2 linked regions of the Coturnix japonica genome follow. The protein of the gene in region 1 interacts with the protein of each later gene in a pairwise test. Links are inferred from orthologs where the notes say so. Each region holds a gene or a part of one and is shown in the gene's direction. Other genes may lie near its edges.

The links.
Region 2: the proteins of USP13 (region 1) and TRIM55 interact in a two-hybrid assay, tested with the Homo sapiens proteins (2 studies listed by BioGRID and IntAct). The link is inferred for Coturnix japonica from reciprocal best matches to the Homo sapiens genes USP13 and TRIM55.

The regions. Positions count from the first base shown.
Region 1 is NC_029524.1:15,337,528-15,343,341, reverse strand, and holds the start of USP13 (ubiquitin carboxyl-terminal hydrolase 13), read left to right. Parts: upstream 1-2,278; 5' UTR 2,279-2,349; coding exon 2,350-2,502; intron 2,503-2,610; exon of another isoform or gene 2,611-3,097; intron 3,098-5,814. Other genes in the region: NDUFB5 (NADH dehydrogenase [ubiquinone] 1 beta subcomplex subunit 5, mitochondrial), read left to right, coding at 16-77, 622-728, 1,114-1,234. UniProt on the Homo sapiens protein: Deubiquitinase that mediates deubiquitination of target proteins such as BECN1, MITF, SKP2 and USP10 and is involved in various processes such as autophagy, endoplasmic reticulum-associated degradation (ERAD), cell cycle progression or DNA damage response.
Region 2 is NC_029517.1:104,130,175-104,135,878, forward strand, and holds the start of TRIM55 (tripartite motif-containing protein 55), read left to right. Parts: upstream 1-2,087; 5' UTR 2,088-2,242; coding exon 2,243-2,431; intron 2,432-2,854; coding exon 2,855-3,027; intron 3,028-5,704. UniProt on the Homo sapiens protein: E3 ubiquitin ligase that plays an important role in regulating cardiac development and contractility, muscle growth, metabolism, and fiber-type differentiation.

The DNA.
Region 1 (5,814 bases):
TGTTTTCTTTATCAGGTGAAGCTGAACTTGCAGAGATTCCTGAAGGTTATATTCCAGAGCACTGGGAATACTACAAAGTGAGTGTAGCACATAAAAAAAGTGTTAGGAACAGCTTTCCTCTTAGTACTTGTCATAGGAGTAAAACGTGTGGAGACTGGTAATGAGAATGGATGCATCCCTGCCACTAGGTGTAGCAGAGCTCCAACTGTCAGAGAGCTCAGAGTTCTTGCTATAAGCACTTTGGTTTTGGTAGAAGGCAGCTGAACTCAGCAGTAATACTATGGCTGTTTCAACTCATTCAGACTTTTATTCCCAGTGAAATGTCTTTGCGTGCAAGCAATACTTGAAAATGTTACTGGCTACATTTAGAGGCTTGGAGTCCTGTCCTGTGATGACAGAGGCAGCTTAAAGGAATTTATTTCAAAGAAAGAAAATAAACTGAGTGTCTCCTGTTTTAATGTTCTGATCTTACAAATAGTTGAGCATGTTTTTGACTTTCCTATTACTGCTTGAATGACAGCACCCGTAAGGTTGATCACGTCTTCGGGATTGGGAATGCGCCATATAATGGCATTTCTATTTGGAAATTACATTAATCATTTCTGCTTTTCTATTTTCCAGCACCCTATAAGTCGCTGGATTGCTCGTTACCTCCTTGACCCACCTGAAAAGAACTATGAGAAAGAGATGGCTTTCATCCACGTTGAAGCACAGAAGGCTGAAATGAGGTACGTTAGTGAAGGTGTTTTGAAATGCTGCTACACAGTATAGTTTATATTTTCTTAGTTGGATGCTGGCATGGAGTACCTGCTTGCTTATACATCACTTGACCTTGCCTGCCTGCTGCATTGGCTGATGCCACAGTGGAAGTTAGTGTCTATAATCCCTGCCTTCTTGGTATTGAGTACCAGCACTGGAATAATCCAAGGGCAGTCTTGTAAAATAACATTCTCTTTGTATTTTCTTATTACCTGTGTTTCATTAAAATTTATGAACAGTAGATGCTAAACTCGTTGCTGCTCTCAGTATTGCCCAGATGTTAAACGTTGATACAAGTCTGATCAAAACCAATAGATGGCACGATCAGTGTGAATTCTGATCTCTTCCTTTCAGGCTGATGGAGCAGGAGGCACGCAGACTGATGAGACAGAGGGGAGATGGACCGTGGTATCAATACGAAACACCTGATAAAAATCTTGTTGATAATTCTATGAAAGCAACACCTGACAACTGAGCAGGTTTAAGGTAGTGTGCAGCTTCTGATGCATACCAACAAATTGTGGCTTATCTGTGGAGCACACATCCTGCTGTTTAATGATGGAAATAAAAGACTAAAAAACCACAAGTAAGTGTTTGTCCATTCTGATATCTTGGAAGGAGTTGTGTGGAAGTTCAACTTGTATCGCTGCTAAAGGTATTAATCAGATGAAATGCCTGATGTTTCTTAAAGATAGAAACACAGAGATGAGTGGCTTCTGTGCATTGTTTCAAACCAGGCCGTTCTCAGTGTAGATTACACACGAGGTCCCTCTGGAATCTATTACATCGCTCTGTTTGTGGGGTTGTTTTCCCCCTATTTCTCTCTGCCGCCTTTGGGAAGCATTGAGGTAGTGGGGATGTTACTGTTAGCTGTCAGCCTTCTGCCGCTAGAGGGATGTGTTCCCTTCGGTTCTAACGGCCAGCCCTGAGGCTGGGAATCCCACAGGAGGGTGAGGGCAGCGTGTCCTGCAGGGTCAGACCCAGGATTGTCCGCTTCCACTTTTTAAAGCGGAGAAGCCCAAATTCTGCAGCAATCCCCGGATCTCGTGGTTTCCAACTGCTAAAACTCGTAGCAAATAACGTGAAGCAGCGTTATGCAGTCTGCGTTCAGCGGAGCCCGCCTCGTTACCTGCTTCGGAGCGCCGCCAAACAGACACTGGGATCGACTTTGTGTCAGCGCTTCCTCTACTCCTTTTCGCCCGCATCGATCTCCCACATTAGCTCCTGTTCTTAGCGCAGCGCTGCTTGTTTATAAACGCTTTGTCAATCACGGCAGAGACCGATGAAGAGCACGAGGCGTTCCGGGCAGCAGAGCGGAGCCCCATCGTTGTGACACCGAGCGGCGCGATCCCCTGCGGGCACCTCCCGGCGGCTGAGGGCGGGCGGACAGCGCTGTGCCTCTCTGCCCCTCCTTCCGCCCCCGCCGGGACCCCCCGGTGCCGCCGCAGCTGGTGCCGCTGCCATTGGATTATAAATAGCCTCTTCCCTCCCCCTCTCCTCCCCCGGGCCCGGCTCCCGCCGCCGCCGCCTCGCCCTGCCCCGGCCCCGCCGCCCGCATTGCCCTCTCCGTCCCTCCCGCCGTCCGGAGTCATGCAGCGGGCCGCGCTGTTCGGCGGCGGCGACGCTCAGATGGCGGCCGGGGACCTGGGCGAGCTGCTGGTCCCCTACATGCCCACCATCCGCGTGCCCAAGTCCGGGGACCGGGTCTACAAGACGGAGTGCGCCTTCTCCTACGACTCTCCCGTGAGTGCAGCGGGGCCCGCGCCCCTCCGCTCCTCTGCTCCTCCACCTGCTGCCGCCCCCTCCTCCCCTCAGCCGCCCCTCGCGGGGGTCGCGCCGGGCCCTGCTCCCCCTGACCTCCTCGCGGAGGCCGGGATGTGTTTGAGGAGCAGGTGCTCGGGAATTGCTTTATAAACGGAGCCGGGGTTTGTGTTCAGCTCCACGTGAAGCTGAGGTTTCCCGGCGGTGATCGAGCACTTGGCGTTGATGTCCAAATGGCGTCGGTCTGGGGTCACTGTACGGAATATCCAACCAAAGGCGCCTCAGAGATTGCCGTCTCTTTTCCCACCTCTGTTCAGTAATTCCTTCTAATGCAGAAAATCAGAAATTGGCTGTAAAGGTGACTCAGCTGTCTGGTGCTCATCAGCCCTCGTTGTAGGGAGGTTATTTTTACCGTGCTCTTCAGCTCTCAAGTGTCATCCAGCAGCCCTGGCTGCAGGCGGGCTGATTAAAGCTGCCCCATCAGACCTAATTGCGTTCTATGCTTAACGAGTCTTGTTGGTTCCTTTTGGAGGGGTGAACCAGCGTAGTGTAGCTTTATCTTCGGGTTTCTGCTCAGGTAAGCAGGGTTGATGTGCTTAATAACTTAATGGCTTTTGTTACGGTTTATAGAAGTTGTTCCATTTGGGATGATAGTTCTAAGGGGTCAATGGGGGCTTTCTAAGTCTTTGAGCGCAGATTTGAAAGTTTCTAGCATTTGTTTTTAACTTTAATTAACTCTTTAATTCAGAAGGAAAGTGTAGGAAAGGCTCAGCTTGTTGCCTTGGCTGAAGGAAGGTGTTGATCCTGCTGTGCTTTGTATTGCAGCGGCTTAGTGACTTCTTTTCTTAGGTCAGCTCTGTATAACCACGTTGAGCCACCTCCTGTGGAGCTGTCTGCCCTTTGTGAAAGAAGATACACAGGTGTTTATTCTTGTTTCAGTGTTAACACAAACAGTCCATGTTAAAAACACATCCTTCTGTTTTTTATTATCTAAGGTAAGATTTCGGGTTCCCTCCAGTGGGATTCTCATCTCAGAGACTTCTGATCGTTTTAGACCAGTGACATCAGAAGGAGAGATGAGTGATGGAGAAGAGACACAAACTGGAGTGTAAGAAAGGTGTATGTGCAGAATGTGCACGTTGTAAATGGAGGTGCTCTGAAGCATCCCCCGCAAAGGGCACAGGTTGCTGCTACAAGAAGCAAGCTGTCTGGTTCAGTAGGTGGCTTGTGTCCTGTACGTGTGGATACAGGGTTGTGTACGCTTGTGCAACTGAAAACTTGGCTCTGCTCTGTTGGAAAACCTTGCTGCTGACAGCAGCTTCCTTTGTGCATCTTGCTGACTTCATGACTGTGACTTGCAAACTCTGTAATGGCTGTGTTAGGACAATTCCCAAAGACTAAACTGAGCCAATTGCTGTTTATTCAACAGTACAACTGAGACTGCAGTCCTTGAGAGCTTGCAGTATGCACGGATATCAATGACTGCTTCATGTAGCTCCCTAGAAATAAATCCTGCATTTCTGGGTGTTCCTGTAGTCAATATTCCTTGAAGAAAATTAGAAAGTTTCTGAGGCTGCTGGCTGAGAGAAGTGGACAGATGTTGTGTTTATATTGATGTGCTGCGAGTGGCACTGAGGAAATGAATAAGAGGACTGAATATAGTGAGACAAATTGATTTCTGCAGACAGATTCCAGTTCCAGGAGTAAGAAGTCCTCCTCACTTCTAAAAGTGAAGTATATGTTTTTAGATCAAACTTGAAAGTGGACTTGCTGTTTTGCTGGCAGCATCTCTATGTGCTGTTGTATTCAGTTGGTTGGCAGTTTGTTTTTGTTGTGTTTCCTTGTCAGTAGTACTGATGCATGACAGAGAGATGGCCTCATTATGAGGTATTAAACATCGCTTAGATGAATATTAAGTACTGAAATTCTGTTATTCCTTTTAAGCCTGTCCTGAAACAAAAGGTCTGTCATTTAGTTACACTGTTGTGGAACTTGATGCAATATGTGTATGCTAGGAATGTTACTGTCACTGTTCCAAATATATTGCAGATTGAGCTGTCATTGTACATCAGGAGCCTTGTGGATGCAGCCAGATTAATTGTGGTGATTACTGATAAACAGACACTTTGCATAGAGCCTGTAATAGTTCTTTATGGTCCCGTTTTTTTGTGTATGAGGCAGAATGAGCAATCTGTCCTGAATCGGACTTTATAGGCTAAAGAATGAACAAACTCTCCACTCCTTGTGTTTGAGATACGGAGACTCGGTGGGACTTAAGCTGCAATTTTACTCTCTTCTCTGATCCCCTTATTAGCAAGTATCTTCTTCTGGTGGGTCTAAAGTGAACAGCCACACAGCAGTCATTGTGCCCAAGTCTGTAAGGTTTGCCATGTTAGTGGATCTACCACACCAATTCCATTTCTATGAGTTTGTTATTGTCTGAGCCATCTCAGTCTGAGCTGAAATTGCTAAACTCTGGACTTCGGTGAGGGAACGAAGCGGCTCGGAGTTGGGTAATAGGATGCAGGTCAGTAGTTCAAAACGTGATCGAGTCAGTAGTGTTTGAAAGCACTTGGTGTCTGTGCCGTGAGTGTGTTTGGAGTGAGGTGCTGGTCTCTGTCTCCTCATGGATTGGTGTTTGTGTTTTCCAGACCCCAAATTCACCATTCCTGCTGTTTTTCAGGCTTAACAAGGGACTTGCTGCCACATTCGAGCTCTTTTGCTGTGGATTCCTTACATTTTCATTCCTCATCCTACCTGTGTAAACCACGAAGTGTTATTTAAACAAGAGAAATGAATGTTTTTAAATGCTTTTCTCCCTGTTGTGGACAGCATATCTCCTTCTGTATTAGTGAAGCATCTGGTGTACTGTGACTGACCGGCTTAGCAGCAAAGAACAGGAAGAATAAGAGCAATTGCTTTCCCTTTTGTTCAGGGTAAGAACTCTGCTCTGCTCTTGAATGGCCTTCTGGGTGAAGAGATATCAAGGTCTGAGTGGCAGCAAGTACAAGCCGCAGTACTCAGACTGGGCTGGGAAGGGAAGACCATGTCTATGCACCACTTAGTCCTGAGCTTTTTATGTCAGTTACAAAGAGTTACGTGCTGCAGCTATGTAAAATGTTGATCCTTCCAGAACTGGTTGTGTTTTCAGTAGTGTTAAATTCACCAGCCCTGAACTTCTCTTACATCAGTTGAGAGTGCTTTGAGCACCAAGCAGGATCTCATCCTTTGTGCAGCACTATGCATCGGTGCCTCTGTTTTGCTGTGACCTTTTCAGCTTTCGAACACTCTGTC
Region 2 (5,704 bases), on another chromosome or scaffold:
GCAGAGATCCATGAGGGCTGGTGGGTGCAGAGGCCAGCAGATGTCCTCCACAGATGCATCAGAGGTCACCCTCAACCAGTTCACAGAAGACATCAGTGAGTTACCACAGATTAGTATAATTTTCCCAGAATTATATCCCAGGCACACAGTGCACCTTCAGAAGTGCCTCTGTTCACTGACCCAAGTGTCAATGGGTTTTCCTGTGTTGCTGCTGTACACCACTGTATGCAGCTGGCTCTGCACAGCAGCATATCTAGCCCTCAGCTTTCCTTTGCAGAGTTTTGCTGTTTCTGCCTGTGCTGCAGGCTGAACTGCCTCACCATGCAGAGAAAGCTTTCCTCACCCAACACAAAGCTCCTTTATTCACACGGGGTTTGATGTGCAAGGGGCAGCTGACTCAGGGACAGGAGAATCAGCAGGAGGCCTTCAGATTCCTTCAGACACCAGAGTCACCTCTGACCTGACCATGGAGTGGAGGGAGCAGAACTATCCTCTTGCTGCTGCCAAGAATGACTCCCTGCCACCCCTGCCAGAAGCCCCAGCTGTCTGCTGTTCAGCTGCCGGAGCAGCTTTCCCCTTGCAGCTCCTGAGCTCTTGCCTGCACTGTGGAGCTGGATCAAAGTGTGACTTCAGACAAAACTGTCGCAAATTTCTCATCAAAGGAGGCCTTTGGAAAAAGTTTGTTGTTTTTATGGGGCTGCTGACAAATTTATAGGGGTAGCTGAAATTCTGGCTCGGTAGGCTGCAAATGGGTGCAGGATTTAACCCAAGCGCTTAAAGCATGCAAGGCATCGAAGATAAAAACTAGTCGGTAATACACTGAATTTAATGTGATCTGTTGTCACTGCATGCAGAGAATATTATTCATTTTTTTTCACGTGGAAATCAATGAAAACCTTCACTTTAATATCTCCCTGAACTGCACGGTGTGCGGACTGGTGTGGCATACAGATAGAGGGAAATGAGGTCTGCCCAGGACACACGGGAGATTCACTCAACCGCTGTATTATTACACATATCACAGCCAAGCACTACAGAGTTATAAGCTAACAGAAACACAAGAACTTTCTGCAAGATCCTTAGAGGAAAAGGCATTGAAGTTATTGATTAAGATAGCAGACAATATACTGATTGCATGTACAGTACAGTGGCAAAGTGATTTTATACAGTACATGCGGGGACTCTGGCTTAAATTGAGAATGAGAGATTTTATTACTTGTACAGTTGTGCAATAAATTATTGGCAAGTGGAAGCACAGATGGCTTTCCCTTAAGATCAGGCATCACATGCCACACATTATCTGGGAAATTGTCATTTTAAAAATAACTCTAGAACAAGTGCCAAGCTGAGAGGGATATCGGTGGCTAATAAACAGACACAAACAGCAGTGCCCAAAACCAAAATGCGTTTGAATTAAACTAGGCAGAGAGAGAGTGTGTACAATTAGTACCTATTCTCTAGCAGTAAAAATTAAAGCTTTTCATACTGTAATTCTTCTGTCTCTTTCTTATTAGAAAATTCAGATAGTGGCTTTGGGGCATATTTAAGCTACTGGATTGAACACTCACATTAAATTCTTGGTTCCTAAAAAATTCATACTGGAAGAAAGTTAAGTGCAGTTATTGGTAGGCAGTGCTTTCAGCTGGTTTGTAAGGCAGTGACATGCTTACATCCTGAAGGATGTGAGCCAGAGAGCAGCCATCTCTCCTGTTGTCTCTTCTAGGAACTTTATGTGCTCCATGCCTTGGGAAGGCCAGCTGCTGGAGCCTGCTGAGACACAGGGGCAGCACAGCAGATTACACACTGCAGCCTCAGCTCTGTGCTCAGCACCGTGACTATATAGCACAGCAGTAGTGGCTGTCAGTCTGGGCAGCAAGTTTGCTTTGGCCCTGTGAAGATAAGGGCTGCTCAGATGGTGCGTGCTTATCACTTGGCTGCTCCCAGGGGTGAAGGCTGCCATGTGCGAGTGAAGAGAGCCAGGGCTCTGCCACTGCCCCCCCCCGGCCCCTGGAACTGTCACCTGTCCCAGCCTATCCTCCTCTCACAGCTTATATGGGCACGGCAGAATGGCATCTTGTGACGCCGCGCTGCTAAAAACAGCCCCGGCTCCCTCCGGCCCCTCGTTCAAACAATGTCCTCCAGTGAGCGAAGCCCACAGAGCCTCTGATCGCACTGAAGCTTGGGATTTATTGCAAGGAAAATTCACCCAGAAACGGAGCAGTGACGCCGTGATCCTGAGCGTATGCCCCTGGAAAAGCTAGGGATGAGCACCTCTCTGGGCTACAAGACCTTCTCCAAAGAGCAGCAGACCATGGATAACCTGGAGAAGCAGCTACTGTGCCCCATCTGCCTGGAGATGTTCAGCAAGCCGGTGGTCATCCTGCCCTGCCAGCATAACCTGTGCAGGAAATGTGCCAGTGATATTTTCCAGGTAGGTCCACTCCTGTGGAAAGCTCTGAAGATTTGAGCAGCGCTGGGTTGAATGAATGGAAAAGCTGAGTATCACCCGGCTCAGCTGATTGCTTTTCATAGATGTTAAGGCTGTTTGGGGGGGCTGCCCTTGTGCTCTTGAAGGAGCTGCATTATGTCTAGCACAGATCATTGCAGCACCATGAGCCTCATCCAGGTGGCTTCAGCGGTCTCTCCAACAGACCTTTAGATATTTACTTTGAATGGCTTGACTCAGAGTTCCTTGGGTTGGTAGGGCAGAAAAGGGAAGAGGGAGAGATATGCCCTGATTTCATCAGATTTTGGTCTGTCGTGCTCCAAAAATGATGCCTTGTTATCAAAATACGTTCTGGTAAAGCTGCACGTGGACTTACTCACCTCTTCTTGTGCTGCTTGGCAAGAACAGGCCTCGAACCCCTACCTGCCCACCAGGGGAGGCACGACAGTGGCTTCGGGAGGTCGGTTTCGCTGCCCTTCCTGCAGGCATGAAGTGGTCCTTGACCGGCACGGAGTGTATGGGCTGCAGAGGAACCTGCTGGTGGAGAACATCATTGATATATACAAGCAGGAGTCCACGAGGTAACATGGGAGATCTGCCACAAAAGCAGACATCACTGGGATGGCTGGGGTGTCCTTCTGGTCATTATGTTTGTCAAACAGTAGGTTTATTTGTTAATTTCTCTCTTAGAAATACAGAAAGGGGTTGTGTTGCTGTGCATGCCTGCCTGCTTGCTGTGCAGTGAAGTCAGCTCTGAAAGCAGTATCCAGATGGATGCTGGATTTCCCTGCTTCCACTTATAGAACACAACTCTGTCATTTTCATTCCCTTGAGCAGTACTTACCCCGTATAGTCGGCAAGAGTATTCTCATGAATGAGGGAAAAGTAGCTAGATTCATGTTGTTTATTTTATGAACCACTCAAACAAACGTATTTCTCTTTAACCTGTGTATTCTCATGCTAAAGAAGGGAATGGGATTTCAAATCTTGTTAGAAAATCCTAAGGGATAAAAAAGGAGATAGCTGAATTGCACCCAGAAGATACCCAGGATCATAACATTACATTAAAATACAATAAGAAATCTCAACTTCCGTCAGCTTGGGAGAGGAACACATGAAACTGAGTCTTATTTAGAATTCCACAGAAGTGAAGGAACAGCTAGAAATAATATGTATCAGAGCTATATGGTGATGTGTTAGAATCCCAGGGCAGAGGAACAGGTTAATCCTAAAAATTAAGATTTCTCCTAATGTTAAGTTCCTCAAATGCATATGTCCATATCCAGCAGTGGAACAATATCTCATCTGTCTGCCTATACTGGGTTGGGCACAGGCTACCACTCTAGGGAACATAATAGGAAGGAGGCAAAGGCTGGTCAGAGGCCACTAAGCAAGCAGCTCTCACCCAGGGATGCAGCCTGTTGTCACCACTATGCGCATGTAGGTCCAGGTTTGTAAGGCAGGGTATTTGTACACCTGAAGGAAGGTGGAATCCTGGCCTCCTTCCACAAGCAGCTGGGCTTTGCAGGGATAGCAGAGGTGATATCACTGGAGCTGGTGGACTCAACCACTGGACCCAGCTCCTTGGGTGGCTTAGGGCACTTCCATCTTCCTCCAACACAGAGGTTGTTTTGGGGCACAGCAGTGGCTCTGGCTATTCCTGTCTAAGTTCTCACAGAACAGTTGTAGCTGCACATGGATTTGAGCTCCAAAACACTAGAGAGCACAAAGTTGGCTTAAAATTGTCCTTTCTGCTGCCCTTAGCACTCCATGGCCAGGGAAGGTCATCTGTCCTTGTGTGTGTCATTGATATCCAAGTATTATTTGAGTCATGTCTGAGGAATCTCTGAGGAAATGAATCAACAGAGTGGTGGATTTTGCACTCAACCAAATAAGCTGGACACTTGTGGCCTCATGTGCTATATTTCTTTTTCCAGCTCAAGGGTTGTATTAGCGCCCCACCAGACTCTGAGAGGAATGTTGTCCTATTTCCCAACCCGAACCTCCCCTGGCATAACTGAAGGCCATTACCTCTTGTCCTATTGCTGTTACCTGGGAAAAGAAGCTAAGCCCCACGTTGCCACAACCTCCCTTCAAGTACTGTTCTCTTCAGAACAGTGAGGTCAAAAATACAACATCATGAATAAAAGGGGAAAATCGGAAACAAATATGAACATGAATGATGTATTTGCATAGATACCTGCCTGGAACCCTTGTTTGCTTAACCTTTTCAGGGGTTTATTTAACCTTGATGAATGTCCTTAGAATTAAAATAATTATCAGGGTTATGTAGCAGCGACAATGCATAACAGCATTATCTAAACTATTTGGCACTTTGTAGGCTTCAGCTGCTTATCTCCCTCTGCCTCAAATTCCTCGGCCTCTCATCAGATGGGGGGGCTCTACCCAAGCTCTCACAGGCAGCCCCTCTCATTACCAACGATTACATCCTTTTTTGTCTTTTATCATGCTGCACATCAGACTCCACACAATGACAGCATAACCTGTTGCCCGATTTAGTATCTATTAGCAAGACCAGGGGAAAAATATTCAAGCAGGATGTGACTTTAAAGCTTTAAAGGGCAGTAACATGCTGAACCCAACAGAAATAAAGTTAACTAAAATATTACCCCAATGTTTGAACGTCTGTAGGCCACTGTTAACCTGAACTTTCTGAGGAGCATCAGGGGGCCTGCTGCTACCAGGAAAGGGTAGCTGCTGGAGATTGCAGCTCCTCAGTCTCTTCCAGCCTCTAATGAGCTCCACCAGCTATTCCTGAACAAAGGGTGCTTTGGTTTCTGTGTCCTCTGGATCCAGCTCCAGGGTTTGTAGAGTGCTCCTCCCCTGCACCTACAAGGGACAGTACTAGGTAAAGGCTGGCCCTGCTGTGGAGCAGGAGGTGTAGTACAACAGGGACCAAGAGCCATGAAGAGAGCAGTGTGTGCGGGCTCTGTAGCAGTGGGGATGCACAGCAGGGCAGCATGCCCAACACCACCAGGAGCTGACATGTCAGAGGATGTGGCTCTCCACTATGGGCTGTGGGAACATGTGGGCTCTCAGATAGTCTGGACCTGGGAGATGAACAGGCAGTGTGCACTAGGGAGGGTCAGTGTTACAGTGCAGGTTGATCCTGGGGCCAGGGCAGTTTAATACTCTCATTAATGACCTGGATAATTGGGCAGGAGCTTACCACTATCAGATTTGCAGGTGATACAGAACTGTGAGGAGTGGCTGGTACACTGAGTGGCTGCTCTTCCT